Linked DNA regions of Arabidopsis thaliana. The protein of the gene in region 3 interacts with the protein of the main gene of each other region in a biochemical or structural test. Each region holds a gene or a part of one and is shown on either strand. Other genes may lie near its edges.

What was found.
Region 1: the proteins of BAM2 (region 3) and AT4G39270 form a complex in vitro, tested with the Arabidopsis thaliana proteins (one large-scale study listed by BioGRID).
Region 2: the proteins of BAM2 (region 3) and AT4G20790 form a complex in vitro, tested with the Arabidopsis thaliana proteins (one large-scale study listed by BioGRID).

What each region holds. Positions count from the first base shown.
Region 1 is NC_003075.7:18,272,792-18,283,941, reverse strand, and holds AT4G39270 (Leucine-rich repeat protein kinase family protein), read right to left. Parts: upstream 7,632-11,150; 5' UTR 7,069-7,631; coding exon 5,174-7,068; coding exon of another isoform or gene 5,086-5,173; coding exon 4,957-5,085; coding exon of another isoform or gene 4,953-4,956; exon of another isoform or gene 4,877-4,952; coding exon 4,854-4,876; coding exon of another isoform or gene 4,816-4,853; exon of another isoform or gene 4,780-4,815; coding exon 4,232-4,779; 3' UTR 4,001-4,231; downstream 1-4,000. Other genes in the region: AT4G39280 (phenylalanyl-tRNA synthetase, putative / phenylalanine-tRNA ligase), read left to right, coding at 40-95, 179-271, 362-446, 554-591, 676-714, 838-914, 1,036-1,120, 1,203-1,299 and 6 more; CCR1 (cold, circadian rhythm, and RNA binding 1), read left to right, coding at 8,984-9,091, 9,375-9,776.
Region 2 is NC_003075.7:11,132,357-11,141,665, forward strand, and holds AT4G20790 (Leucine-rich repeat protein kinase family protein), read right to left. Parts: upstream 4,068-9,309; coding exon 2,810-4,067; intron 2,718-2,809; coding exon 2,419-2,717; downstream 1-2,418. Other genes in the region: AT4G20770 (Pentatricopeptide repeat (PPR) superfamily protein), read right to left, coding at 1-730; CML42 (calmodulin like 42), read right to left, coding at 953-1,528; AT4G20800 (FAD-binding Berberine family protein), read left to right, coding at 7,300-8,886; AT4G20810 (transcription initiation factor IIE (TFIIE) alpha subunit family protein / general transcription factor TFIIE family protein), read right to left, coding at 9,071-9,156.
Region 3 is NC_003074.8:18,412,686-18,423,738, reverse strand, and holds BAM2 (Leucine-rich receptor-like protein kinase family protein), read right to left. Parts: upstream 6,172-11,053; 5' UTR 5,999-6,171; coding exon 3,412-5,998; intron 3,325-3,411; coding exon 2,903-3,324; 3' UTR 2,476-2,902; downstream 1-2,475. Other genes in the region: BCAT3 (branched-chain aminotransferase 3), read right to left, coding at 429-606, 688-770, 846-971; WDR5a (Transducin/WD40 repeat-like superfamily protein), read right to left, coding at 8,516-8,803, 9,384-10,049. UniProt on the Arabidopsis thaliana protein: Necessary for male gametophyte development, as well as ovule specification and function. Involved in cell-cell communication process required during early anther development, and regulating cell division and differentiation to organize cell layers.

The DNA.
Region 1 (11,150 bases), on a different chromosome or scaffold from region 3:
TCATATTAATTTGGAGCATCACTCTCTCTTCCCCTTCAGGAATTTGACAAAGAAAGTATCAATTCTCTTAAAGCCAGAAAACTCATAGTACCACAGTAATTGATTCTACTTTTCTTTTATGTTTCGTTCCTATTGAGAGACATCATTATCAATAGCTGATATCTTTACTACTTCTCAGGATATGGAAGGGGTATTCCGTAAAGAAAGGTCCTAATTATGCTCCCGAGAGAAAGAAAGTGGCTACCGATTTGACTCGAGAAAATCTTCAAAAGTTTGTCCTATTCCTTGCATTTTTTTTCAACTTCTTAATGCTATTGTAGGTTGAATATGCAATTAAGAGAGGAATTTGGTATATTTGCAGCTGGAAAGAGTTAGAGTTTAAGGAGTATAACTTCAAAGCTAAAGGAGCGCCTGTTGACGCTGGGCATCTTCACGCTCTTCTCAAGGTAACATGACACAAAAAATGAACTTGTCGTATCCCTTTAGTGTAAGCTTGTTGTTTCTTTATCAAACCTCTATAGTTTTTATTTATATTACTTTTCTTGTACCTTAGGTGCGGAAGCAGTTTAAAGACATATTTGTTCAGATGGGGTGAGAGAAACTCTTCACATATATTGTAATTCCCCATTTTTCTGTTGATTGCTAAAATTAATGGTGAGCCTTATGTGGTCATAGGTTTGAGGAGATGCCAACAAACAACTATGTGGAGAGCAGGTATCCTCTAGTTATTAAGAATCTTGGTTTTCAGCTTTCCATGGAGGCTTTAAGGATATCTAATTATACATCCTTTTCTTGCTATTTGTTGGCTGATCTTAATCTGATTCATATACGCTACAGCTTCTGGAATTTTGATGCTTTGTTCCAGCCTCAGCAGCACCCTGCTCGTGATTCTCATGACACCTTCTTTCTAAAAGGTTCAAATCTTGAATCCTTTGTCACTAAATTTGTTGTTTAGGACAGCTATTTCTAGGTTGCTTGTTGACATCTCAAAGAATAGATAACTCTTACATTTAAGACGTAAATCTTTGAATGTAGTTCCCTCTACTACAAGAACACTTCCGGAAGATTATGTTGAGAGGGTGAAACGTGTTCATGAGTCTGGTGGTTATGGATCAAGAGGGTAATTGACTTGTATCTTCTTACCACCTTGAATAAATAATAATTAATTTGCAATCACTCTGACATGGCCTTTTGCAATAAAGGTATAATTATGATTGGAAAAGAGAAGAAGCAAACAAGAATCTTCTTCGTACCCACACAACGGCTGTCTCATCTAGGATGCTTTATGCACTAGCACAGGTTCAACTAGACTTTAGCTTACAGGTTTTGAGACGTTGGTTTCCAAAATTCAGTAGTATAATTAGATTTATATCTTACTGTAGAAACCTTTTGTGCCCAAGAAGTACTTTTCGATTGACCGTGTCTTCAGAAACGAGGCTGTTGATCGGACCCACCTTGCAGAGTTCCATCAAATTGAAGGTATAGTTCTAATGGTCAGAGTTGTCACTGTGGGGAGTTATATTAAAGTTAGCATAATCTTCTGTCAAACTTTATTCATAATCGGTTAAATGATCTCATGTTTGGATCAGGTTTGATATGTGATCGGGGCCTTACACTTGGAGACCTGATTGGTGTATTAGAAGACTTCTTCTCACGCTTAGGTAAACTCTTCGCTATTGAATCTTAACTTTGGTTCGCTTAGGCTCAAGAGAGAAATACTAACTCTTTACGGGATCATACTTTTCAGGGATGTCGAAATTGCGTTTCAAGCCAGCTTACAACCCTTACACAGAGCCAAGCATGGAGATTTTCAGGTAATTGGTAAAAAAATATAGTCATCTAAATTGCGTAAGAATAGAGAGAAAAAGTTAAACTTTGCCTGTTCCTGGATGTCAGCTACCATGAAGGTTTAGGGAAGTGGGTGGAGATTGGAAACTCTGGGATGTTCAGACCCGAAATGCTTCTACCGATGGGTCTCCCCGAGGATGTTAGAGTCATCGCTTGGGGTCTCTCTCTTGAAAGGTACGAGTTTTTAATTCCCTTCAACATCTCAGGGTCGTTGCTGATTCTTTCTTGCTTTTTGTTCGTTAAACAGACCAACAATGATATTATACGGTATCGACAACATCCGAGATTTGTTTGGACACAAGGTAAGCACAAAGATATTAATTTATTCTGATATCTTTCTATAAACATTTCCTTGTTCTGTTGATGTATATACTCAATCAATGTGTCATTATTCTGTCCCAGGTGGATCTCGATCTTATTAAACGGAATCCGATCTGCCGAATTGGAATCTAAGTGATATATTTTGATTGTCTTTTTGATTCAAGATACTCTATTTGGTTATCTCTTGGTATTTTCAATTCTACCTTTGGTTACTGGACTTTACAATTCCATCTTAAACGTGTGTACACTCTTAATTGCAATCTGGCTTGTCGAATTTTAATATTCATTTAGCATTTGGTTTTGTACGGTATAAAGTTTGTACTTGTACTAATGGCATACATATTTAGGATGCATAGTCTATACTTGTGCCAATGGCATATATTTTTAGAATCAATCGCAACAGCACCTAACATGTGGGAGAAAACGTATGTTTGGAATGGGCCAATGTGGCCCAATAGAATCTAGTGTAGCTAATGTCCATTGGTACCAATCTATTGTCACATACATAAGTATTGAGATACGGTCCAAGCAGCTCTCAACATCAAATTTCCTTAAACATTAACAACGTTGTAACTGCTGGATATTTGCGGTGAACTCATCATTGTGCACGACGACATTGGCGTAATTGTTTTTGCTTTATATGATTTACTTGAGATTTTTTTAAATATATTTTTTTTATTTTTTTCTATATTTATATTTTTTTTCTCAATTAATTTGGTGTTACGTGATGTTTTGGTTTTTGTAATTATTGAATCTAGATAACACAGATTATGTAACAAAGCTATATATATAATAATAATAATAATAATTAAGATGCAGTACATATAATAATTAGGTAATATTCCCTCCGTCCAACGAAAATAGATTTTTCAAATTTTATATCAAGTCCGATCGGAATTAAATGTTAAGAAAGACGTATTTTTTGTTGCTTTACGGAATTGCTGGTTTTAGTGGTTTTCGTTAGAAAAGAAATTTGGTGACTCTGAAAATATGTATGTACTGTGACCGGTGGTCCCACTTTCTGACTTCAAACAACATATGTGAGTAACGGCTCAACTATCGATGCAATCAATTGTGGAACACATTCCAAGCCATTTATTATCCCAACTATGTGAGAAACCATCTCCGTTCGACGGTTCTAGAAGCCCACAAACTATCTTCGGCCGTGGGTATAATACAAGGTAAAATTTATGTATTGAGTGTTCATCTTAGATCGTGGGTTGTTCAGGTATACAACATCAAGTACTCGGATTCACTCTAGGAGATTTTCAATATTGCTTTCGACGAGAGGCTAGAAAAAACATACGGTCTTTCTTTGTATATACAAGGTATGCACAAAATCTTCACTTATCAAGAAAACTTTGTGTAAACATTTCTTTGTTCTATTGGAAATATATATATTCAATCCATGTGTCATTATTTTGTCGCAGGTGGATCTCGATCTTATTAAACGGAATCCGATCTGCCGAGTTGGAATATGAGTGATATTTTGATTTATCTTTTTGATTCAAGATACTTTATTTGATTATCTCTTGGTATTTACAATTCTACCTTTGGTTATTGGACTTGACAATTCCATCTTAAACATGTGTATACTCTTAATTGCAATCTGGCTTGTCAAATTTAATTTTCACTTAGCATTTGGTTTTGTATGGTATAAAGTTTGTGAGGTGGTATTTACGATGTAAGGAATAAGAACTTAGATCAAATAAATAAGTAACTGGGCCAAGAGGCCCATTAAGTGCAAAGATGCAACGTGGTTAGATAACAGCAGCCCATTTATTAGCCTCATTCACACATCATTACAGAAACTTTTCGTTTTTTATATAATTGCCCCAAAGTATAAAACATTTCGATTCCCACCCCATACAAAACGAATTGCTAGTTTGCTACCCGAGAATATCAAAACTCAAAAGACTGGTCTGGTTTGATCATCGAAAAATATTATAAATTAACGGGAATTTTTTATCAACAAGAGATCAAATCATAACCACACATAAAAAATAATTAAAAATTGACGTCAAAAAATAAATATTGATCGTGTGTGTGTGTGTCTTTCTTTCTATACATCTTTCATACTCCGTCGACTCGACGCGCCACGGCTACTTCCTCTCGCTGACGATCCAGTCGCTAAACCCTCCGCCTGAGACAGAAGGCTACTTGTTCCCGCTGCGACAGGATCAGACACGCTCTGTCTCCAACTACCAAATATTCGACCGCTACTCGAAGATCCTCTCGAAGATCCAGTCGTACGGAATCTCTCAGATTCGCTGCTGTCTTCTCTCACAACTCTCAGTGGATTCTCCAAGGCTTGTACTATGTGTCTCATAAGCGGCCGTCTCGTTGGTTTTGGGTTAAGACAAGATCTAGCGACGATTGCCATTGCCCAGACTTCTTCTAAGAGGTCTTCGTCGACCAGAAGAGATTGGTCTAGAATGTTCATTACGGGTTCTTTCTCTTGCGATGAAATGTAAGGCATGATCTCGGTTAGGATTTTTTTGAATTGGGTTTCTTTACATGAGCTGATTCCGAGTTTCCCTGTGATAAGCTCCAGAAGTATCTTGCCGAAGCAGTACACATCGTAGGCACATGTTGCTGTAGCTGCAGACCCTGGGAATTTTAGGGATTGTTAGAATAGTTAAGAAATTAGCAAGCTTGTTTTATGCATTTGAAGATAAACTCACCAGGAACACTTTCTTGAGAAGACCTGAAGAGGGAAACAGTAGCAAGCTTGTTTGTTAGATGTTTAAATCAAAATTGGTTATATGATGAATCAGAGGCACTTACTGGGATAGTCTGAGCAATCGGGCTATTTTCCGTGGACGGCCATTGTTTTCTTGATGACAAGCTTTGCTAAAGCTTCCAAGCCTAACTTCAAACTTATCATCCAAGAGAATGCTACTTGCTTGAATATCCCTTATTGAACATTGGAAGACTCAAGATCAGTAATGAACTAATGGTGGCTTGAAAGTAAAAAAAGAGTAAAAGGAATGGTTTTTCATACCTGTGGACGACGGATGGTGAGCAATCATGGTGCAGGTAAGCAAGTCCCTCTGCTACTCCCAATGCTATTTTCAGTCTGGTGATCCAATCGAGAGATCTCAATCCGTTGTCAACTAGGGAATTGGATTTATAGAACAATGAGCTTGGTAAATCCCTATTCAGCATGTACTTGTATACCAAGAACTTATGAGTTGCGCTCTCTAAGCTCTTCCCTACGAATGGGATTATTCTCGGATGCGCAAACCGGCTGAAGAAATCCAACTCGGTTAGATAAGCTTCGTTGTTCTTTGTAGATTCCAAGCTGATTCTTTTCACAACGATCTGAACTCCGTTTTCTAGAACTCCCTTGAAAAGATCCCCAGATTGTCCTTTCTTGATCAGGTTTGAATCACTGAACTCCTTGGTGGCATTGAGCAACTGCTGATAGGTAAATGATGATCCAAGACTCCCAAAGTTTATAGAGACTCCTCCTCTTGAGGGAAGTGTTTCATCAGGAGGTAATGGGCCAACACCGTTGTGTCTTCCTCTAGGATGATTACTTGTTGATGATCTGTTTCTTCGACGGACACAGAAACTCACTGTTATTGGTAACACTATGAGAATGAGCATAAGCAATATAGACCCTCCAACTGCAGCAAGTATAACTATTTTCGTGTGGCTTAACCAGGAAGTTTTAGAACTCTTCTTCTCTTCATGTTGTCCGAAATTGTTGAAAGTTAAGCCCTTTTTTGAATAAAACAAAGTGCAATCCGACAACTTCCGCTGCTTCTCTGGGCCCTGAAGACAATTGTTGCTCAATGAAGCTCTGGTTGGCACAAAGTCAGGAATTTTACCTTCAAAATAGTTTTCTGACAGGTCAACAACTTGGAACCTTGTCAGTAAAAGTGTGAGATTGCCGTAAAACATGTTCCCGGATATGTTAAGCATGGAGACAGTAGAATCAAAACTGACAGTGGTATTAGGCAGCATGTCAGAGAAGTGATTTCCAGAAATATCTAGAAACTTGAGCTCCGGTAACGACCATAACCTGGACGGTAAAGCGCCTATGAAACCACTGCCTCTGAAGTCAATGATCTGAAGTTTACTCAGCAAACTAAACAGATCAGGAGGTAGGGATCCTGAAAGGCGATTTCCCGCAATTACCAATGTCTGCAAGTTCCTTAGCCCTTTCAAATCTGATGGAACCGAACCTGACATTCCGTTGAAGCTGAGATCAAGGTCAATTAAAACAGAGAGGTCTCCGAGTGATGGAGGTATTGAAGAAGTCAAGGTGTTACGCGAAAGATTCAGACGCTGGAGCTTTGAGAGTGCCCCAATATTAGCAGGAATCGAACCAAACACCGAGTTTGAGGAAAGATCAAGGATTGATAGATTCTGAAGAGAGGTAAGAGACAGAGGAATATCCCCATTGATCGCATTCTTTGAAAGATCAAGAACTTTGAGATGTGATAACCGAGTCAAACTTTCAGGGATGGTTCCTGTGATTGAACAGGAGCTAAGGTCCAACACCTCTAAAGTCAACAGACTCGATCCAAACAAAGCCGGGATTGGACCTGGAAGATAGAACCTTGAGGCGTTGAAGGAAGCTAGACGGGTGAGATTGACGAGAGAACCAACTGAGAATTCCGGGTTTTGATTCCCAATCCTTGTCCTTCTGAACCCTGAAATGTTGATCTTAGTTACTCTACCATTCTGATCACATTTGATGCCGTTCCAGTTCAGACAAGGATTGCCTTTTACAGGCCAATCTCTGCTTCGTAACCCAAGAGAAGACCTTAACAGCAGAAGCGCCGATTTCTCATTCAGAGAACTTGTCTGTTGCTCAAACGTTGACTCTAACAACAAGAGGAGGAATAAGAAGAAGACCAACAAGGATGTCTTCCTCAGAACCACCATGGTTTCTCTAAACCCTGGTGACGACTAGTACTTCGAAAAACTTAAAGCCATTCATTGCCTAAGATTCAATTGGAAAAAAGCTTCGCGATTTATGGAAATAATCAAATCTCTTTTTTTTTTGGGTTTCCTTCGAATCCGATCAATAAAGGAAACTTTCTTTTTGTGATTATTCAACAAAGATATATACTAAAAAAGGTTCTTCACTCTGTTACCTCTGCGACTTTCTCTGGCAATTACTTTTCTCTGTGCACTTCAGAATCAAAAACGATTCATTGTTGTTTACCAATCATTTTCTGCTGCCTCTCTCTCTCTCTAACTCTTCCATGTTTTTTTTTGTCCTAGATTTAGAGAGAGAAAGATGGAAAGTCTGATATAATACGAAACAGATATTTTTATATAATATTTGATAAAAACTTCTTCTTACAGAACTGTTCTGGACAGAGAAAGCTTCAGACTGGTCAAGAACAGCGGCCGTTCGAAGAAAAGAGAAGAAAGTATAAGAAAATAAAAAAAGTGAGAGAAGGTGGATCTTTCGTTGTATACGTGCACGTTCCCAAGATTTATGGTTCGATCTCGTGACCGAGACGCAGATACAGTAATTGAAAGTGAAGTTCTGAATACGGCGTCGTTTGAGGAGTTTGACTCTCAACGATCCCGCCCAAGACAGCTTAACGAACTCTTAAATTAATATCATTTCAAAAATACTTAAAGTTTCTGCTGACGTTTAATATGATAACCACCATTTTAGTAGTTTTGCAAATAAATAATTGAATTCCTAGGAGCTACGATGCTACTCCATTTCTGTAAATTTTGTATGACAATTATTTTTCCTCGTATTAAAACGACCAAAATATACTAATAATAATTGTGGCTTTATTATGAGCAAAATGATTTAGTTGTCACTCTTATAAAAAGTCGACGATACTTTTTCATATTACCTGCGATATATTAATAATCAGATTTCTTAAAAAAATCTTAGCCAGGTTATTTCTTGTTGAAAAAGCTCTTCTACACGCTTTAGTCAGCATTTTCAGCACAAAAATCGAAATCAAGATACTGAACCATTTGTAATTGACTTTGTATAACTACTACATCTTCATTCTTCATCCGTCTAATTTTGGTATACAAAATAATTAATCCTGTAAAAAAATAATATTCAGACAGTCAAAATATTTCAAGTACAGAGCGAGTGTATCCAAATATTCAATGATTGAAAATTGAATTCCATTGAAAGATTTATATGTTCACATATCTGCACATCTAGCTTTCATTTGAATATCACTTAACATACCAAAATATTTGTACAACAAAAAACGTCTATGCTAAAGTTTGGATATTACAGACTGTAACATGTCCACGATGCTATTGCGATAAGAATCTTTTCATATGAATTTATTGCATGTCATAATTAATGACAAAACAAATATGTAAATCCATAGCACATTATCGTCATAGTCTTTGCATATTATTTCATTTTATTGTTTTACTAATTTCGCCGTCAGATTCATTGGGCCGGAAGTTATAATCTTTCCAATTAAATTAGATAGGCCCAATAAACGAAACTCAGACCCAACTATTGTATGACATAATGACGACGAGACGAAGGACAAAATTGTCATTTAAGGAATAAAAGATATTCTTACAAAGATATTTTTTGCTCGAAACGAGGAGAAAAAATCATTAGTTATCGAAAATGCTCACATGATGTGGGCCTAACCACTAACCCAATTAACCACACATCTTAATCAGAGTAAGTTGAAACAAATCTTTCAGCAAACCCTAGAAAACATGTTTAACCCTAGTTATTACGTCACACCTGTTCTATAAATTAAGGCTGCGTCTTATCACCTCAAATCACATAAGTCTCTCTCTTACATTTTGAAACCCTAATTTCTCTTCTTTTCCCCAAAAAAAAATGTCTGAAGTTGAGTACCGGTGCTTTGTCGGCGGCCTTGCCTGGGCCACCAATGATGAAGATCTTCAAAGGACGTTCTCACAGTTCGGCGACGTTATCGATTCTAAGGTCTGTTACACGAGAGATCGGTCTCCCGGATCGAGCCGATTCCGATGATTCTGATCCTCGACGGATCTGATTCCGATCTGTTTCTCTGTTACTTGATTCGATTACTGTTACTATGTTCTCTCTCGTTCTTTGTTACTGTTACTTAATTTGTCCCATCGGTACGTTCATCTTCCTGCTTCTATGAGCTCGGAGATCGATCGATTTTTGCTTTATATTCATCGCTTTGTTTTATATTCCTTCCACGATTGTTTTTGCTGATGTGTATGATTTTGTTTGTTTACAGATCATTAACGACCGCGAGAGTGGAAGATCAAGGGGATTCGGATTCGTCACCTTCAAGGACGAGAAAGCCATGAGGGATGCGATTGAAGAGATGAACGGTAAAGAGCTCGATGGACGTGTCATCACCGTGAACGAGGCTCAGTCGAGAGGTAGCGGCGGTGGCGGAGGAGGCCGTGGTGGAAGCGGTGGTGGTTACCGCAGCGGAGGCGGTGGTGGATACTCAGGAGGCGGTGGCGGCGGATACTCAGGAGGAGGCGGTGGTGGTTACGAGAGACGTAGCGGAGGTTACGGATCTGGTGGAGGCGGTGGTGGCCGAGGATACGGTGGTGGTGGACGCCGTGAGGGAGGTGGCTACGGAGGCGGTGATGGTGGAAGTTACGGAGGCGGTGGTGGCGGCTGGTAATCAAAGATAGAGTTGTTTGCGTGCTGCTGCTCTGTTTTTGGTTTAGATTTGGTTTTGTGTCACCACTTCTGGTTTGGTTATCGTTCGTTTGGTTTACTTTTTTGATGAAACAGTTTCGTTTAAGTCTTCTTTGTCTGGAACGAAATGTTAATTCGCGTGTTGTTTACTAAATTTATAACGTTTCCTTTTAACCAGATTCGAGATTTTCCCTCAAATAATTTATCTTGTTAGACACATGTATTTAATCGAACAGCAGCTAAAGGATTCAAATGATTTTCTTATCAATAATTACTATAGTTTGAAATTGATTAGTTCTTTAACTTTTGACCTACCAATAATTAGTGCTATTTTATCGAAAATGATCGTCACTCAGTTTTGCGCCGATCCAATGTGGACATTGGGTATTTAATACTAGTATCTTCTGTTTAAATTTTTGACTGAGAATATATAGACAACAAGATATTCATCGAATATTCCCCTTCCGTTACTTTTCTTTTTGTCGGCATCTTTTTATCGTGAAAGGATATCATCGTCAACGTAGCCCAATGAGCTCAAACCAAAAATGTAAATCCTAATCCATAAAATGACTATTAAACAAACAATAAAATCACATAGATGAGACTTTGGATATGCTACAATATGTGTACTTTTGTCTCTTGTAAAATGTGTAGGCTTGTTGAGCAATGCTCTGTTTACTCACTCTCCAAGTGACAACAACAGTCTGCACCGCTTGGAAGAAAAAAACAAACTTAGCATTTGTTAACAAAGTTATTATGAACTACTATAGCAACCCCATAGAAATAAGCATCTTCATTGAGCTACAACAGCTAAGTCTACAAAGGAACTTAAGATTACATCAGGATTTAGTTCCTCAAGTTGCAAAAGGAGCTACCACTAGTTGAGGAATATAATGCTTACCCTTTCCTTTCTTTTCCCCACATATTCTTGTAAAGCTACAGTGGCAATTTACACCAATCATCACCAGCTAAGCAACGTGTTTCATAAAATGGCCGGTACCTTCACTATAGGAAATGCAACTTGAAGATGGAGATATGGAATCAAATCCACCAAATCTTACCCTATGTAACTTTTCATGTCACAAAAGTAAAGATGCAGCGAATCCATATTGCATAACAACCAATTCTGATGTTTCTGACATAAACTATTATCTCACAGCTCAAGAGATTACAAGACGCTGAAAGTGAAATGTATATTTTTTACCATTTTAACACCTAGGTAAGAAGGAAACAATGATGAGAATATATATCGTGAAATGCCTACTTGTAGAATCCCGTAGCAACTAGCAACTATACCTCTAGAATATATTGAGCCATCAGTCTCATGATTAAGATTCTTTTGTCTTGTTTGAACTTT
Region 2 (9,309 bases), on a different chromosome or scaffold from region 3:
ATAAGCAAACAGAATCCACCTGCACGCCTTTCTCGCACATCAATCTGAACATCTGAACTGCCTCCAACACTTTATTTTCCCGAGCTAACCCGCCAATCACCGCTGTATAAGAGACTTCATTAGGCTGAGAGAGAGATTCAAAGACTCGAACACCATAATCAACAATAAACCCACACTTTGCATACATAGACAACAACGCATTCCCAACAAAAATATTCTTATCAAGACCCGTTTTAACAGCAACCCCATGACACCTCATACCAAAAACACCATCCAAAACCTTGCTACACGCACTTAAAACACTAGCTAACGTGAACCGAGAAGGCAAAAACCCATCACAAACCATCCTCTTATAGACAACCAAAGCCTTCTCTTCAAACCCTTTCCTCACCAAAACACTAATCATATTATTCCACGACACAACATCTCTCTCAGGCATTCCATCAAACACCTCACACGCTTCCCCCAAATCCCCAACTTTACATCTAAACGTCAAAAAAGCATTCCAAGAATAAACATCTCTTACAGACATTTCATCAAACACCTTCCGTGCATAATCCCCATCACCACACTCAATATACAAATCAAGTAAACGATTACATAGATAAGTATCACTCTTCATTCCCATCCTAACAATGAACCCATGTATAACTTTCCCAGAAAGTTTACACCTTTCATCTCTATAACAACGCAAGAGACTCGCTAAATACTTATTCCCTCCGCTACGCATTTTTTTTCTTTCAAACAAATATATTAGATTGAATATTGTTTATAGGCGACAATATGCGTTTGGTACGAATTTTTCGTGCCAAATTCAGTAAGTACAAAAAAGAAAAAATTTATTTGTTTATAATGTTTGAATCAATCATTACATAAACTGGAAAAAATACAAACTTAAAAGACAAAAAGTAAAAATAATAATCTTTTGGAGAAAAAATGTTTTTTTGGAGAATCAAGAAGAAGGGATGACAACAGTACGCATCATGTTCTTGAATTCAAAAAAGTCAACGCGACCATCTTGATTCCGGTCAACGGAAACGATCATCTTCTCCACTCTCTCCATTTCTCCACCTTCAGGTAAACCAAGTTTCTTCAGAACAGTTTGCAGTTCTCTAGCGGAGATGAATCCATCACCGTTCTCATCAAACACCTTAAACGCCTCGGCGAGATCCGATTCATTTTCAGCTGCGGAAGAAGGATCATCTTCGTTTTCTCCTCCTCCACAAGCTCCACCGAAGAAAGAATCGTCGAGTGTTTTGTGAAGAGAAGAGAAATCATCGAAATTGAGACCAGTGTTACCAGGTTGGATGTATGATTCAACGGTGGATTTGAGATCGGAGAGATCAGCGTTGAGACCAAGACGTGTTAGAGCTTGGCTTAGCTCTTCGACGGTTATGAATCCGTCGCCGTTTTTGTCGAATAAGTCGAAGATTCGTTGGAGACGAAGTGCGTTTAGGCTTGGGCTACGTAGTCTGAAGGATGATGATTGTCTTGCAACTTTCTTCTTCTCGTTGTTGTTACTCTCCATTGTTATCTTGTGTTCTTCTTCTTCTTCTTGTTCGTTTGTGGAATTATAATCTGAGATTGAGAAATTGAGTGATGAGGGCTAATTATAGAAGAGAAACAATTGGTGAATTAAAAAATTTATGTGTAGGAGTCCGTTGTTGCCGGCATTGACTTTGTCTGGCCCGCCATGTAAGAACTTCTAGCATCAGACCCCATAATTCATACTATCAATGTCAAAATAAAAAGGTCACCTTTTTTTTTGCCAAAAAAAAAAAAAAAAAAAAACGGTCACCTTTTTTGTGATCTGTCGAATAATATTTTGACAATGACATTAGAACAAAAATCCGATCTTTTTTCCCCCGGGAAAATGGAGATAGAGAAAAAAAAACGTCTAATTTTATGATCGTTATTTAATTGTGATACAAGTTTCGGTTTCAAATGGTAATGAAGATTATTAATGCTTTGATGATGGGTTAATTTCTGGTTTATTAGTATTTGGATTATTTTAAAAACTGAAATTGCTTTCAAGTTGATAAATGATACACTCATACATAACTGTCGATGGCTTTTCAACGGAGAAGAGACAAGTCACGTCGTAGTAGTTACCGAATTTTTAATCGAACGTTCCCATTTGCCAACCAGTGTATAGTTTCTATATCTTCCAACCCGGGTCGGGTCATTTGAGAACCCATAAAACTATGAAACCCATTTCAGCTAATAAAGCCCATTTGCAGAAATGAAGCCCATTTACAGATTTCATGTCTGCAAATTAAGTACTCATTTTCTGCAAATTCTCTCAGTACTTATAGTAATCAAAGAAAAAACACACAAATATGTCTTTAATCCTTACAATACTATCTAACACCAGATGTCTGAAAATCAAAAGAAACCAATAAAGCTTTACAAGGTATTTCAATGATGTCGTGAACTAGACTCATACAATGAACTCACCAAGTCATAAATCTGCGTCAAGCTTGGTTGCTTTAATGGTGGTATTATATCAGTACACATCAGTCCTAGCGTAATGGCTTGCTTAACTTGATCAAATGTTCTCCCCTCAATCTTCATCTTCTCATCAATCACTCTCTCTAGATTATCCGGATAATGAACTCTTATATACTCAAGATACCTTCTTTCTGAATCTTCTTGTCCCAAATCAGGTCTTAGATTTGTAATCATCTCCACAAAAAACAATCCAAAGTTGAATATATCTGTAATAACACAACAACAACAACAACAACAGACTTAGCTTTTATAGCCTTAAAAAGGTTTTGATTTTTGCAAGAAGAAGATGAAGCCTTACTTGTTGACAAGTTGTTTCTATCTCCAATCTTGAAATGAGAAATCAAAGGTTCTTGATTATCATCGGATAACAAAACACTGCTTGTGGTGAGATCAAATGTAATCTCTGGCCATTGATCTGATAGATAACAAATACCTTCTACAACTCCTAGAACTACTCTTAACCTTCTTCTCCATGATAAAGCCATTGACGAACTTAACCAAGTCTCAACATTTTCACCTTGAATCCATTCTGTAACCAAAGCTCTCATGTTTCTACTATTACACCAACCCAACACTCTTACCAAGTTCTTGTGTCGTAACTTAAAAACCATCTCGCATACCTCTGCGAATTCACGCCTTTTCTCACTCGAAACCTTCTCTTTATAAACCTCGATCTTCGTCTCTGTCCCGTCTCTTAACGTTCCTTTGTAGATATCCACTGTATTGCTCATGCTCACAAGATGTTGATCTGAAAACTCATCCGTTGCTGCTTCAAGCATCGCGAATGTGAACTTGTTTCTTCTCCGGCATGTTCTTGGTAAGTAATCAGGTCTCTTGACACATAACCAGCCAAAGCAAAAACAGAGCAAAATCACCATTATTGGAAAAACAATCAACAAGACCAAAACTTTCATCTTGTAACGCTTCACGTTGGGAAGAACACCGGACTGTATGAAACTAGAGGCGTTAAACCGTTTGAAGAACTCAGAATCCGAGATCTTATTCTCGGAGAATCGGTTATACGATAGGTTCAAATGGGTCAGATTGGGTAAGCCTGAGAGATCTTGAACCGGAACAAAACCAGAGAATTGGTTGTAACTCAGATCAAGAGTACGAATCTGAGCACAAGACAGAACATTTGTCGGAAAACCATTCGTTAGAGAGTTATTCACTAACTCGATATCAACGACGGTTAAAGGACAGTACTTCCAGAAGAAATCGAAAGAGAGGTAAAGAGCAGCGGTTTTAGGACGACCGTGAATTCTGATTCTAGGGAAAGATTCAACGCAGTTAGGGTTTTTGGACTCGTTACAGAGATGACTAGCGACGATTGTGGATCTGAAAATCTCGACAATGTCCATTGGAGAAGAGGAAGTGTTGTTGCAGTAACGGAGCATTGGATCACGAAGACAGTTGTTGGAAATAGTGGTGTTGAAATCAGGAGGTGGACTTAGATTAGCGAGGTCTTCGACGACGGTTGCGGAGAATACTGAGAGAGGAAGATAGGATGATAGTAGTGACGTGAGGAAGAAGATGAAGAACAGAGAAGACGCCATTGGAGAGATAGAGAGCAAATAGGTTTCGTTATTTGGTTTCGTGTATGGGTGAGATTAGAGAGAGAAGCAGAGAGGTAGTTTCTGTGTTATTGGAGGTGTTGTTGTTGTTGGCGGTTATTTTGAAACAGAGTGGGATGAGATTTACGCGCCCATTTTCCTTTTAGTGATCGTGTGCTTGGAAGTTGAAGATTATTAAAATAATAATAATTGTGAAGTTTTTTAAATTTTGTGAATATCTACACTTTTTACAATAGCTCCACTATGAAAACAAATTTCAATGTTTAATTATCATTTTCGTTGTCATTGAACACATAATAATGTGTTTATGTCAGTTGGTAAAAAATTATCTAGAATGGTTTTGCTTGTATTTGTAAGATTGTGCCTCGAATTCCTTTCATATATTTCTTGTCTCTTTGGTCTATTTATCTTGTTCTAAACTTTTTCTCTTTCTTGCGCAACAAACATCTACGTGGGTGAATTTGAGTCGATAATTATTTGGTAAATGTGCTCAATGTTAAATATAATTTTTGTTTGAGAATTGAATTGAATTATATAAACTACTATCAATAAAATCTTCAATAGTTTCACTTTATATCCAATGAACTTTATATTTCTGCAATTTTACCAAATTAATATGCCTAATTTAAAATTTAGATTTATAGAATCATATATATAATTTTTAATTTTCTACATTTCTATTTTTATTCATCTAATCTATATGCATTTAATTTCTTTAATTGGTATAGTTTCCTATGTTGTATTGTTTATTATTTTGTTATTAACATATTTTATAATTTTTTGTATTTTCTTAATTAAGAATAATAAAAATATATAAAAATAATAGTTATTGTCTTAATGAATCTTTAAAAAAATGGAAATTCAACAGGAGCTAAAAGGTAAACTTTTGATAAAGAAAATAAAATTTATTGCAAACTTACTCAGGCTTCTTAATTGTTAGAGAATTTTACACTAATGCAACGCATTAAAAGGTGAATTCAACAGAAGCTAAATGCTACTTCCATGAGCACTAACTCAAAAAGTGAGAGGAATAGTCATTTGAGATAAGTTGAGAACTAGGCAGTTTTTAGGGAAATAATTTGAGAACTAGACAGTTTTTTTAAAAATAGGCTGATAGGGTAGTTTCTTCTGTCCTCTCTAATACAGCCCTCCTCTAATACAGCAAATAGTCAAAGACCGTTTTACCCCTCTTGTGTTTTGATGAAAACTAATGGGCCAAATTCAAACCAGCCCAATATCATTCAAAATTCAAGATTTGTCATGGGCTAATATCACAAAACTCAAACCCATTTGTCCTCAAGACATTGAAACCAAACATAAACTTATCTCCTAAACCCTCGTTGAACATAAACTTCTCTCGTCGTCGACATCTTCTCTGAAGTCGTCATTGTCAAAAGAAGATAAACCCTCGTCACTTCGAAAATCATACACACATTGTCAAAATCTGTCGAGATGGAAGGTATGAGTTATCATAAGAAGCTTTACAGTTTATGAAATTGAGTGTACGGCCAACAAATAACGATGGAGACGATGACTCTGTTTTCGTTTTTTCAGGGGACGATGAATCCTGCGTCTCCATGGTCGGCCGGTGGATTTGCTACTCCAATGGTTGGTGGGATTTCAAGGTTGATAAAACTAGGCCAGGAAAGGCTATTAACTGCGAAAAAATTCAGACTTTCAAATCACTTGAACAAGTTCTCCGGCGAAGATTCTCCATGGTTGGTCACGACGTCTTTTGTTTAGTATTCTATCTTGGCTAGTGTACTAGTCTAGTGTACCGAAGTGGTGTACTGTTCTAGTGTTCTCACTTTGTGTACTATCATAGTGTACGCATTTGGTGTACTAGTCTAGTGTACTAGTCTTGTGTACTACTGGTGTACTGTTCTAGTGTTCTCACTTGGTGTACTATTATAGTGTACCCATTTGGTGTACTATTCTAGTCTACTTCTAGAATGTCAAAGTATCAATCCAAATTATAATACAATATATTTCAATTCAAGTGTTATGAAGCATAATAATAATCTAGGGTTATGATTTTGAATTAGGAATTTATTTATTTACTTGGAATTCTAAATTCTAGTAATCTAAGGCTTTAGGGTATAGTTTTAAACTTTATTCCATATGATATATGGTTTTCCTTGGGTTTAGTCTTCTCTCTTTGTCTTTTAGTGTATAGTTTTGAATTTCACTACATTTCAATAATGTCTTTTAGTGTATAGTTTTAGGGTATAGTTTTTAATTCCATTGCATTTCCTAAATGTTTTTAGTATAATAGTAGACTAGTCTAGTGCACCAAAGTGGTGTACTGTTTTTAATTCACTTGGTTACTAATTGGTGTACCCATTTGGTGTACTATTCTAGTCTACTATTATATTCTATCTTGGCTAGTGTACTAGTCTAGTGTACTAGTGGTGTACTGTTCTAGTGTTCTCACTTGGTGTACTATTATAGTGTACCCATTTGGTGTACTGGGTTTCTCTCAAACGTCTCTCTTCTCGAACTCGTTCACCCTCGATTTGTTGTACACCGACTGTGGCTAGGGTTCGTGAAAAACCAAGAAGAGTAAAGTAACTCAATCTCAGAATAAACACGGGCTCAGAAGTTATTTGGATAAAAAACGTAATGAAACTATCGGGCTCAAATATTTGGGCTCACTTAATACGAATTGGAGTTAACGGGCCTAAAATGAGTTTTAAAACCCAATCCAATTTGTTTCGTCGAACCCAGCCGGAATGTGTGTTTTTAAAACACAAGGCTACTATTGTATTTGACACCTCTTTTGGATTTTTGCTACCTTTTTCTATCTCACATGAATCCTATTAGACAAGCCCAATAAAAAGTACCCTCTTAGCATATTTCCAAAAAAACTGTCTAGTTCTCAAATAATTTTCTAAAAACTGCCTACTTTTACAATAAACCCTAGTCATTTCACTTTTTTATCAAAAACAAAAAAATTGAATAAAGTTTCACATTAAGTTACGTTTCCAATTAGGCAATTACATTATAAAACAAAAAAAGTATTCAACTTTCCCTCATTACTTCAGTTTCCATATTTTGTAGGTTTATAAGTTTATTCAAAGTACTGTAAATACATCTTTCAGTTTAATTTTCTTTCCATAGTTTTTTCTATAAGTCTAAATCCCAATTAATACATAAGAAAAATAACAAATTACTTTAGATTTTTCGTTTCTCTTTGAGTTCTTCAATCAAAGTAATGAAAGAAGTAGTTTATGTTCTGCTACTTGTTCTTCTTGTTTCGGTTTCAGATGCAAATGAAACGAAACCAAATATTGAAAACTTCCTCCGATGCCTTCGTAATCGGACCAATCCGAAGAATCCGATCGCCGAAGCCATCTATACTCATGAGAACTCCACCTTCGCGTCTTCTTACGTGTCCTACACGAATAACAAACGGTGTTTAAACCCTAACGACACAAAACTAATCGCCATTGTTGCTGCAAAACATGAATCTCATGTTCAAGCAACTGTGGTTTGCGCAAAGTCAAACGGAATCCAGATCCGTATCCGAAGCGGCGGTCACGACTACGAGGGACTTTCTTTCACCTCCTCCGTTCCGTTTGTTATCCTTGACATGCACGATCTCCGGTCTATAACCATTGACGTGTTCAGAAAGCAAGCTTGGGTTGATGCTGGTGCGACCATGGGAGAGCTCTACACCAAGATCGCAGCGGCTAGCAAAACCCTAGCATTTGCGGGTGGCGTTTGCCCTACATTAGGAGCTGGAGGACACATCAGTGGCGGAGGATACGGAAATCTGATAAGAAAGTACGGAATCTCGGTCGATCATGTGGTTGATGCTCGAATAGTTGATGTCAACGGCAATATCTTGACAGGAGCTACCTTGGGACGTGATCTATTGTGGGCTATTCGAGGCGGTGGGGGCGCTAGCTTTGGCGTTATCCTCTCGTGGAAAATCAACCTCGTCGATGTTCCAAAGACCGTGACTGTTTTTAAGGTTAACAAAACCTTGGAGCAAGGAGTTACTGATGTTCTCTACAAATGGCAGCTTGTGTCGAGCAAATTGCCTCAAGACCTTTTCTTGAGAGCAATGCCTAAACCGGTAAATGGCGTGGTACCTAGCGAGAAAACCATCGCAGTTGTGTTCTACGCTCAGTTTTTAGGCTCAGCAAGGAGGCTCATGGCGATTATGAACAAGAATTTGCCTGAATTAGGGCTAAAACGTGAAGATTGCTACGAAATGAGCTGGATTAATACGACAACGTTTTGGCAGAACTATCCTGTGGGAACATCGACAAGCGTTTTATTGGATAGACCATCGGGTCCCGCAGGAGCATTCTACAAGAGTAAATCGGATTACGTCAAGAAACCGATCCCAAAGGAAGAAATGGAGAAGATCTGGAAAGCAATGTTGAAGTTCAACAATATGTGGATGCAATGGAACCCTTACGGTGGAGTGATGGACAAGATTCCTGCTGATGCCACCGCGTTTCCTCATCGAAAAGGAAACTTGTTCAAGATTCAGTACTTTGCGTTATGGACAGACGCAAACGCCACATACGCTAATCTTGGTCTAATGAGAGATATATACCATGAGATGGAGCCGTACGTGTCAAGTAACCCTAGAGAGGCGTTCTTGAATTACAGAGATATCGATGTCGGAAGCAATCCGAGTGGTGAGACCAATCTTGAAGAAGCTAAGATCTATGGATCGAAGTATTTCTTGGGGAATTTTAAGAGATTGATGGAAGTTAAAGCAAAGTATGATCCTGAGAATTTCTTTAGATTCGAACAAAGTATTCCTCCTGCTAGTGCAATGTAACTCTTCTGAAGGGTTTTTTGAATGTTTAATAAGTCATATGAGCATTTAACCAATAAAATTAAATTAAAGTAATCAGCATGCATTATAGCTCATGAAAGGATTGTCTGTTTTGTGATTTGTGTTATGCGCTCAGAAATCGTGACAGCGTGTTTTGCAAACGAATCAATGGTTGATCCATATGCTTTCAGCATTCTTGCCAATCGACATCGTTTTCGTCTTGTTCTGCTTCTTCTGCTTCCACATTCAAGTCCACCTTGTAGTTTCCATTTGCTGCATATTAAGAAAGTAACCAAGATGAGCATCACATGTACACCGAATGAGACCTAAACTAATCTCAGTTAAACTATGAGCATGTCTTAACAAGTATGTATCTTCTTGTTGAAACTCTGAAATCTCAAAACATTCAAAGAAAACTGTTCTTCT
Region 3 (11,053 bases):
GACAAATTTCTCCACACTTTCAAACCCTCCTAACTCCCTTAAAGATTCTTGATTAGCATAAATTAAGTTTCTTTCATAGAATTCATTACAGTAAAGGACAGGACTTTGAGAAGCTAGAAAACAAAATCGACGGCAGATTACGTTTTTCGGTGCCAAGAATCTAACCAACTTCTCCACACTTTCAGATCCTTACCTAAACCCCCAAAAGGCTTTTCCTTTTATCGAACTTGTTAAGGACATGACTTTGAGAAACTAGGATACAAAATCAGATAATAGATTGCGTTTCAGTGTCAAGAATCTGACATTCAAATCCTAAACCTTAACCCCACAAAAAGCTTCTTTTAACCATAATCTAAGCTTGGTCTAGACTTTTGATCATACTCAATACAGTAAAGGACATGACTTTGAAGAAAACTAAGAAAACAAACCTGTCCATAGTTGAGTACACCAGCAGATGGGCTAATTTCAATATTCCCAAAACGTTGCAACTCACCTTTTGAGAACTCTCCATCAATGTTACATTTCATCACATACATATAATCAGCTGGCTTAAGCCCAAATCCAACGGTATCCCAATCTATGTCGGCTAATTCAGTTACCAACGTACTAATTCAACATAAACAATACATATATATAAGTAAGAACCTGAGAACTTGGACAAATACCCACCAAAAACAAAGAACGAACCTGGAAGAATTGGACGAAACAGCGTTGCATCGAGTAAGAGAGATTCCACCATTAGAAGAAACAGAGGAAGAAGAATGCTGAAGCTGTGAAAGATAATCGGAGAAATGGGTCAGATAAATCAGAAGATGATAAGAGAGGGAGATGAGAAAAGAGTTGACCTTGATGGAGGCAAATGACGGCGGCGATAAGTTACGAGTAGAGGAGTGGAGGCGCGTGGAGAAGGCGCGTGAAGGACAAAGTAGGTAATTTTGATTAACACTCGGGAGAATTGCTGCTCTCTCCATTTTTTTCTATCTTCACAATGTGTCTAGTGTTTTGTTATACACGTCTTCTTCTTCTTTGATAAGGGAGACGGAGGCTTTCTCTCTGTGGTTTCGTTTTTGCTCCTTTGCCCTAACAGCTTATTTGTACTTTTGTTTGTCAACTACTTAAATAACCAAAAAGACAACACGTGTTTGATAAGTAAGTTTGTGTTATTAAGAAAAACTGAGCCTAGCCCAACACAAATATGGATCTATAGCCCAACATGGACAAGTGTACAAGACAATGATAGCTCTCTATAGCCAAATATATTTTGGTACTCTTTGGATTGTTGTTGCTCTTGTTTGATTTCCTTGATTTCGAAACGACTGTGCAGAATGATTTTCTCACAATTGGAGTGACATAAGTACTGTGTCGATAAACCAATGAAGAGCTGAAGAAAGAAACAAACGTTACAATTCAAACACAAAAGTACATACTCTAGTTTCTGACACCAGACTGATTCTTTTTGTTCGTCCCTTTATCTAACCTTCGTTTAAGTAGATGGAGTTGTTATGGGCCTCGGCCCGAAAGTTCAACTACATGACTATGTTAGAACTTAGAAGTTTGAGATGAAGAAAGAATCTCAATATATAAAATATATCTTTGGATGATTTAAATTGAATTCAATTGTTAGTCATCTAATGGCTATTCGTAATCTGGTAGTTTCACCCGATAAGTGTATATATGAAGCTAGAGAATGGAACATGCCATTTCCCATCTCTTAATTAGAATCTTGGCCTCTGAAAAACATTAATTACCACTTTAATCCATCTTCAAGTCTTTCTAGTTTCTTGATAACTAACTCCTGACTTATTAATTCTAGAGTTAGGCACTCCTTAATTAGGTTTACAAGATCATCAATGTACATTCGAACGTAAGAAATTTTGAACATAATACATCTAAAATATCATAACTAATATTCTTATTGTTCTTTATATCTTTCTTATCTCAATATAATAGTCATGGTTATCGAAGAAAGTACTAGATACCAAGGATAGCAACAACACCTAAAGTCTAAAGATTTTTTGATATTGATGAGTCAAAATCAAAGTTGAATATATGGCTTGTAATTAATGAGAGGGAGATGTCATAAATGCTTCGTCTAAAATTAGATTTTTGCTTCAAGACAAGGGAATAGAGTGGAAAAAAGATCTTAGGACCATCTGAATTCATTAAGACACTAGTGTCACACTACCCATACATTTGCAATAATTGGACAAATTGTGAGTGAGCTTTCACTTTCTCTCTTCTCAGCGTTACTCATCTTCAGTCCCACACAAACACATTCATACCTTGGTTTCACCCTCTCTGTGTTTTTTTCACATGGAATGTCTTGTTGTGACACAACAGCTACCACAACCAGATACAATCCAAAAGGGTAAAAGCAAAGGTGAGAATAAAATATGTAATGTAACAACTCATAAGCAAGATTCCAGCATAATGGAGACACTAGTTTCATTTTAAGACAACGAAAACTCTAAAAAATTAGTTTTTGCTTGAGTATGAAACTAAATGAAGTTCTTAAGAATATAAGGGGCAAAAGTGTTTTTTGGTCTAACACAATTGACATACTTGAACCGGGGGCAGATTGATCATATACATAACTGCATGTATATATATGCTGATATGCATAAGCCATAATGTTCTCGAAATTCGATTTCCTGAAATTAACCACTTATCATGCAAAATTCAACCGCAATGTACATATTCAAAATTCCTACACGAATAATTGTGGCAGCAGTGAAAAAAGAAATGCAACAACCTTAAGAGTTAAACCACTAATTGTTGCCTTAACCGGAACCAGACAACAACGGGCTAATTAAGTAATTAACTCCACTACCGAGACGTCGGTGACAAGAAAATTAGAAAGACAAATTTGCCCCTCAATGACCAAACCCAATCGCCGGAAAGTCTAATTACTTAAAAGATCCGGTGGACTTCCTGAATCCGGCGACGATTCATTAATCGCCGGAGCTTTCTCAGTCACGTCTGATTCCGCCGCTTGCTGCTTCGAAAGAGGAATTTTTGGGATCTCAGTGAGAATCTGAACGACTTCACGCATCGTCGGCCTCTCCACCGCTTGTTCTTCAACGCAGAGCAACGCAACGTAGAAGACGTGTGTTACCTCGTGAACTGGAACTGAAGAGAGTCTAAGATCGATTACTTTGAGCACACAATCTTTATTTGAATCCGTCATGCTTCTCACCCATTGAACAATATCAACGCCGTCGCCAAATTCTCCGACGGGTTTTTTCCCGGTGATGAGTTCTAGAAGAACAACACCGAAACTATACACATCGCTCTTCTCATCTACCTTCAATGTATACGCGTACTCTGCTCAACAAGGAACAAACAAGTTCAGAGATTTTACATTTCACCACCAAGTGTTTGATTAAATGCCATTTTCTGCAAATTTGTTACCTGGAGCTATGTAGCCGTAGGAGCCGGCAATTGCGGACATACATTCAGAAGTACCGGAATCTTGGAGGAACTTGGCGAGACCAAAGTCGGCGACATGAGCTTCGAAGTTGGAATCGAGGAGGATGTTGTTGGATTTAACATCTCTATGGACGATCAACGGGGAACAATCATGGTGGAGATAGCAAAGACCCTTGGCTGCTTCAAGAGCTATCTTATAACGTGTGTTCCAATGTAAATGACCTCCTTTCTTTCCATGAAGAACCTCTCCAAGGCTACCATTAGGCATGTACTCGTACACAAGGAGATTCGTTTCGTGGTTGGAGCAAAAACCGAGCAGTCTCACGATGTGTCTGTGTCTGATTCTACCTAGCGTCTGAATCTCGGCGTTGAACCCGTGATCGTGGGAAGATCCATGGGACATTGTAGCCAATCGTTTGACCGCGACTAGGTCGCCTTTAGGCATAGTGCCTTTGTAGACAATCCCAGCACCGCCTTTACCGATGATGTTGTCTTCCTTGAGAGAGTCCAAGACATCGTCACAAGTGAAGTCTAGCCTCTGGAAAGCAGTCAATCTCCATGCCTTGGCTTCACTCGCATTTCGCAAGGACCGAGCTTTGATTATGGCCACTATAGCAAACACCATCGAACAAAAGAGCAATCCAAGGACGAGTAACAGTTTCGTAGTAGCAGATAAAGGTTTGACATGAGACTGGTGAGTTCCTTTGCCGCAAGGACCCAAATACGGACCACAAAGATGAGAGTTACCCACAAACGATGTGTAATTGAAGTAACTAAACTGTCCAGTGCTGGGAACTAAACCGGAGAGATTGTTGTAAGAGAAATCAACCGATGTCAAACTCTGCATTGATGCTATCGTCACAGGTATGGAACCAACGAGATGGTTTCTTGAAAGATTCAAGTAATTCAAGATCTTCATACCTGTGAGTTCATTAGGAATATCACCTGAGAGCTCATTACGGCTAAGATCAACAAACGTTAGCAGCTTACAACGACTGATCTCCGGTGCGATCCGACCGGAGAACAGATTGTGGCTAAAATCCAACTTAGATAGCTGCTGAAGCCTCCCAATCTCGGGAGGAATCGAACCAGAGAACTTGTTACCATCAAGAAGTAGTTTTTGAACACCGGACAAGTTTCCAATAGCTGCAGGTAATGAACCAGAGAGCTGGTTATTAGAAAGACTAATCTGACCAAGGTCACCAGAGACTCCTCCTCCGCTTATTGGCAACTCTCCGGTAAGGTAATTGTCTTGGAGCTCCACTTGAGATAATTTAGGTAACCCGAAGAGCTCCTTTGGAATCGACCCGTTAAGGAAATTCTCACCCATCCGGATCCGGGTCAGAGACTCACATTTACCAAGCGAATCCGGTATTGAACCAAACAAGAAGTTGCCAAGAGTGATTAACGTCATTAACCGGTTACCAGAACACATATTCGGCGGCAGAGTTCCGGTGAGTTTGTTCGAAGAGAGATCAAGAATCACTAATCTACCATTTTCCCCCAATTTCTGAGGAATACTACCAGTGAAATTGTTCTCCCAAAGCTGCAACACTTCAAGCTCCGGCATTTCACCGATGAACTCAGGTATAGCACCGTAGAGCTTATTCCTGAAGAGATTCAAAAGCGTTAAGTTCTTCAGCTGTGAAAAACTCGTCGGAATCTCGCCGGTAAACATATTGTTAGACAGATCCATCGATTTCAAGCTTGAAATCAATCCCAGCTCTTGAGTTATTGTCCCTGTAAATGCGTTTACTTGAAGAAACAACGTATCTAGCTTCTGAAGCTTCCCAATCTCCGGTGGAATCTCTCCGGTTAAACCACAATTAGCAGCGTCGAACCGAACAAGCTCTGATAAATTTCCAATCTCCGGTGGAAGACCATTTTCAAAAGCGTTGTAATATCCGATGTAAAGTTCACGAAGAGTCGTTAGGTTTCCGATCTCCGGAGGGATTTTACCGGTTAGCTCGTTACCGGAAACCGCTAAGTATTCGAGAACAGGCCAGGTTCCGTACGTCGCCGGGATTTTGCCGGAGAAGTAATTCCCACCGAGGTGAAGATGACGGAGCTGAGTGAGATTAGTGAGTGAAACCGGTAAATCTCCGGTTAAATTGTTGTTGTATAAGTCAAGAACACGGAGATTCACCAATCCAGAGGAGAGTTCATCGGGAAATGAACCGTTGAAGACATTATTGGAGAGATTGAGGTGACGAAGCTCATAGAGATTGGAGATTTGCGGCGGAATAGGACCTGAGATCTGATTAGCAGCGAGTGATAGATTCTGTAGCAGAGGTAAATGAGCTACGTCGGAGGAGAGAGTTCCGGAGAGGTTAAGACCTGAGAGGTCGAGAGAGGTCACGTGACGGAGAGAGACGTCGCACGTGACACCGGTCCATGAACAGAAAGTTGTTGAAAGGTTCCATGAGGTCAGGAGAGGTGAGTGTTCGTCGATGGTGAAGGAGGATTTGAGTGAGAGAAGAGCGTGGAGCTCGGTGATTGGTTTAGCGACGGTGAAGGAATGAGAAATGTGGAGGAGAAGGAGGAGGAGGAGGAGAAGAAGAAGCTTCATTTTTTTTTTGTTTTTTTTCTTCTCTTTCTGTGTAAGTTAGGGTTTGGTTTTAAAAAGGGTGAGAGTAAGTGAGGAAGATGAAGATTGTGTGTGTGTTTTTTATGAGTTTTATTTGTATATTGTAAAAGTATTATTTTTATTTTATTTTGGAATTTACTTGGAGGGAGATTTTTAAGAAACTTTGATTTCACATAAATTTTCTGAAAATAGAAAACACAAATTAAAAACTTGAAAAGTCGTTTATTTAACATATATAGAAACATATGCATGTGGTGGATTTAATGAAACATGGAATTAGAAAGGAAGGGATTCAAAAACGATAATTACATGAAGAAAATGTTAATTAATTTGGAGCCTTGTTGTTTTGAAACGTGATGTTACCTAATCTTGACAAAATCCAACACTTTATTACACAGGTATACAAGTGTAATAATGCAATACCAAAGCGAACCATAAATTCAAAAAGATGTTTTAAAGATAAACCCCATAATGAATTAATTGATGATGTTGAAATGAACGGTCCTGATGTTATAATTCGACGGGAAAAGATGGAGTCCACCACTGGGGATTCACAAACTTACCAAAACTTATTGAGACACCCGCTTCTTTAACCTCTCTTAAGCAAAACGAAACACTTAATTAACCAAAGAACCCCTTAAAAAGCTTTGTAATAACATTTCTATCCTTAGGACGGACCACAACAACAAGCCCCAAGGCAATGGCATGATCGACAAAACCCAGAGAGCCGGTCTCTGTACTCTGATCGACTGATAATGACGAGAACAACCTTGAGATGACGCACGGCAACAGTTAAGATCCTCGAGAGATGGGTAGGGATACGATCGTACTTTTGATTAGTGGAAGTAAGTCAGTTAAACACAGTCCTATGTGCATCATTTTCATCTTTTGCCAGTTACCACAGTTCACTGATCAACAATAATGGTTTCCCGACATGTATTTTATTTTATTTATACTGATTTTTTATTATCTCACAAAATTATCCAATTTGATTTTGTAAGAAAGTAGGATTTCGAATCATTTGCTTCTTTTGCCAGTTACCACAGTTCACTGATCAACAATAATGGTTTGCTCAGTGAACAAACATATTAGTTTTTTTTTTTTTAATCTTGTATTAAATATGGAATCAAAATGCAAAAGAAAAAAATGAATTTTTAATGATATAGATCTAAAGAAATACTGAATGTCAAAATTTTGAAAGCAGATTTTTAGTCACATGATTAGGGAAATATGTAGCCACTAGAATAAGTCGTACTCGTATTAGGTGAATTTTTGTTTTCTTCTTTATGGACCCGGATCAATAGAATAAGTTTTCATCTGCAACGCACTTTCTTGCACTAAATAATAAACTTATATTAGTGAAAAATTTATAATAATGAAAACATTTCTTGTTTAATGGTTTACTTCGAATGATAAGAATTGGTAAGCACGTGTTAGGAAATGTATACTTTTTTGGGGAAAATGTCGAAGATATACTTTTGGATGGGTGTGTGTGTATTGCAGATTCGTTTGTTGAAGCTTGATTTCGTATTTGGTACCAAATCGAATATATTTAACCTGACTAATAGATTATTATGATAGCACTAAACCTAACAATTATTGTTTGCTACTACAATCATAAAGAATTCAATTTATACTCTTTTTGAGAGTTTTTATGTTTAATCTTATTAGCATATCTCGAGAACTTTTACACAAAAGAACCAAAGCTGAATTTTGGTCTTTGTATCAATTGGGAGAGACACAAACATGACTGAGTCTTTAGGAACTGTTGCTTTCTCTTGAATCATGTAAACAGAAAGACACGCTGTAAAAGCAAACAGCCCACTGGTGTGTAGCTAAAAGACAGAACAAAGGTCACAAAGTCATCTTTTTGTTAAAAAATTTTGGTTTCGAAATTGAAAACAAAAAAAGAGAGAGTGGGTTCAAATTTTCAAGTGGTCCATTTCAAAATCTTGTAGGGTTTAAAAAAAAGAAGACTTTACGATAAAAGTGAAAATGAAAAGTAAAAAATGGGACAGGACCAGGGGACCATAAGCTTCATCATCATGGCCAACCAAAGTAACCAACTACCATACATTATCTACTTATAGTCATATATCTGTACTTTGACCCATGAGCCACCCATCAATATGGTTCAGATGAACAATTTTCAATCCTGAAACTACTTTATAACCAATAGTATTGGTGAAGCATTGCATCAGCTTAATAGATACAATGAGTAAAGGGTAAACCTATGAAGATTTGTGTTCATTCTCTCAAATGCCTTTGCACTTGCAGGAGTCTTTGCCTTAAGACCTACCTAAATAGTTCTGAGTCACACAGAGAACTATTACAAGTTTAGAACAGTCTGTTGCACTTCCCTTACACCAAACAAAAATTAGACTTTTACATAATGAGGCTAGAATCAATCTAACAAGCTTAGTAAGCAACAGATGATTACTGCATGAAGAAGGTGGCATGTACCTACATGTTTGATTTCTGAAGAGAGAGAGTGATGATTTATTCTTTCTTCTGTGTCCAAATCCTTACTGTCTTGTCGAGCGAGCCTGATGCGATCAAGTTCTCTGTCGGGTGGCATGCTACGTTCATGACGGTCTCAGTATGACCCTCAAGTTTCTGTAGCAGTTTCTTGGAGTTTAGCTCCCACATGTGTACACAGTTGTCCTCGGATCCACTGACTATTCGCTTTCCATTTGTGACGGAGAACGCAGAGGAAATGCAATACTGTGCGTTCACGTGGCCAGTGTATGTTTTGAGGAACTTAGCAGACGAAATGTTCCACAACCTCTGCAAATTTATAACGAATCATGAGAATTCCTTTATTCAACAATACCCTATAGACGCAAACACCAAAAGAAGATGTATCTTACAACCCTCTAAATACGACCCTTCAAAAGTGTTGAATCTCGATCAATAACAGAACTGTTCCAAAGCTATCAACTTTTCCTTAACTAGATAACAATTTTTGCAAAAATAGCTTTGGATTGGCTTCTCCTACATCAAACTTCTATTAACACACAACCTAGAATCTAAGTTCATGGAGAGATGAGTGCATTAATAACGAATCATAAGAATTTAATTTCCTAATGCAAATTAATCAAACTCCAAACGACGATGTATCTTCGAAGCTACAACCCTCTAGATACGACCCTTCGAAACTCTTGAATATCAACCAACAACAGAACTATACTTAAAGCTAACAACTTCTCTGTAAACTTAGTTTTGAATTGGCTTCTCCTACATCAAACTTCTACTAACACACTCTACCCAAAATCTTCATGCTTTTTTTCGAGATCACTATAGAGCAAAACTAGTAATCACACTAAAAACATCAAATCTTTGAAAGGAATTCAACAAGTGAACTCACCAGCGTGTTATCAAGTGTACCAACGAGGATAAACTTGCCATTAGGAGAGAATCTAACAAACGAAACAGGAGGATTCTCATCATCAATCAGAGTTTTCACACAATGACCAGTCCCAGAATCCCATATACGACACAACCCATCATAGCTACTCGAAACAATGAGAGACCCATCTCTATTAAAATCAACAGCAGTAACAGGATCAGAATGCGCGGGAAGAACTTTCAAACACTTTCCAGTAGTGACATCCCAGATCCGAACAGTTTCATCAAACGAACCAGATACAATCATATTTGATTGAGGATTGAAATTGACACAGAAGGCGTAATTAGTGTGTCCAATAAGCGTCTTGATCAATGAACCAGTTTCAACGTCCCATAGCTTTAAGGTTTTGTCATCGGAAGCTGAGACTATAAACCTCGCGTCTGAAGAGAATGCAACATCGGAGATACCGTTTTCATGGCCGGTGAATTCTTGTACGGGCTCGGCGATTGGATCGTTAATGGTGTTGATTGTGTAAGTGCGGATTGTTTTGTCGGCGGAGGCGGATGCGAGGAGACGTCCATCGGAGGAGAATTTCACGGAGGAGACGGCGCGATTGTGAGATGTTAGAGTTTGTGAATGGACGTATGGAGTGAATGATGCTGTTGCTGGAATTTCCTCTGCCATGGAAATTGGTTAGCGGAATTTGAATTTGGCTGATTTTAGGGTTTTGGGAAAGGAGGCTTTGTCTAACTAAAGGAGAGAGACGACGATCCAGTGTTCTTGGAAAAACCCCGACTCTTTTAAATAAATTGTGGGGTGTGTTTTGAATGAAATAATACTATTGGGGTGTATTTAGAGTTTTCGTAAATTATATAGTTTCACGAGCGACTCACGTGCTCGCTTTCCAAGCTCAAACCTTCAGAATGATACAGAGTCTTTTGGAATGTCTTAAAATTTTAGTTCTTTCTTGCTTCGCAAATTAAATCAACAACACTCTTCATATATTGACTACCACAGTTTTAACCTAAGACTCTTTAGTTATCATGTAAGTTTGGTATGCCGTAACAATCATGGACTAGATTTTAACCCTCGGTATACCAGGGGATGATTTATTTTTTAAAAGTAATATATATTAAAATTTGCAAATTTTATTTTTATAAAATATTTATATTTTACAGTTTATAATTGTTATTAAGTAACACTATACCACGAATCCATGAGACAATTGTTAAAAAACTGAAGTTTTAACCCCTATTAAAACAACATATTAATAATATTTTAAAATTTTATAAATATTAATTCAAATACATCCACCATATAACCCAATTCCAAAATAAAACCCGTTATGTAATTTCTTTACCCGTTCCGTGATTTTTTTTTAAAGTAGTAATTTTTAAAATTTAAGAATTATTTATTCTATATAAAAGTTTTGCAAATTGTATCATTCTCTAATACATTTATATTTTATAGTTTAAGTTTATATATAGTAACATTATACATACCACATAACATTTTTGGTTTTATATAATTTTTTCTAAATTAGGATGATTTGATATGTTTAATATTAGTGGTCTTAAAAAATAATAAATTAAAGATTTAACCCGTATTGAAATGGTGGATTAATTATATTTTACTTTTTTTATTAATGTTGATTCAAAAACCCGTCCCTCCAAATCCGTCTTGCCAAA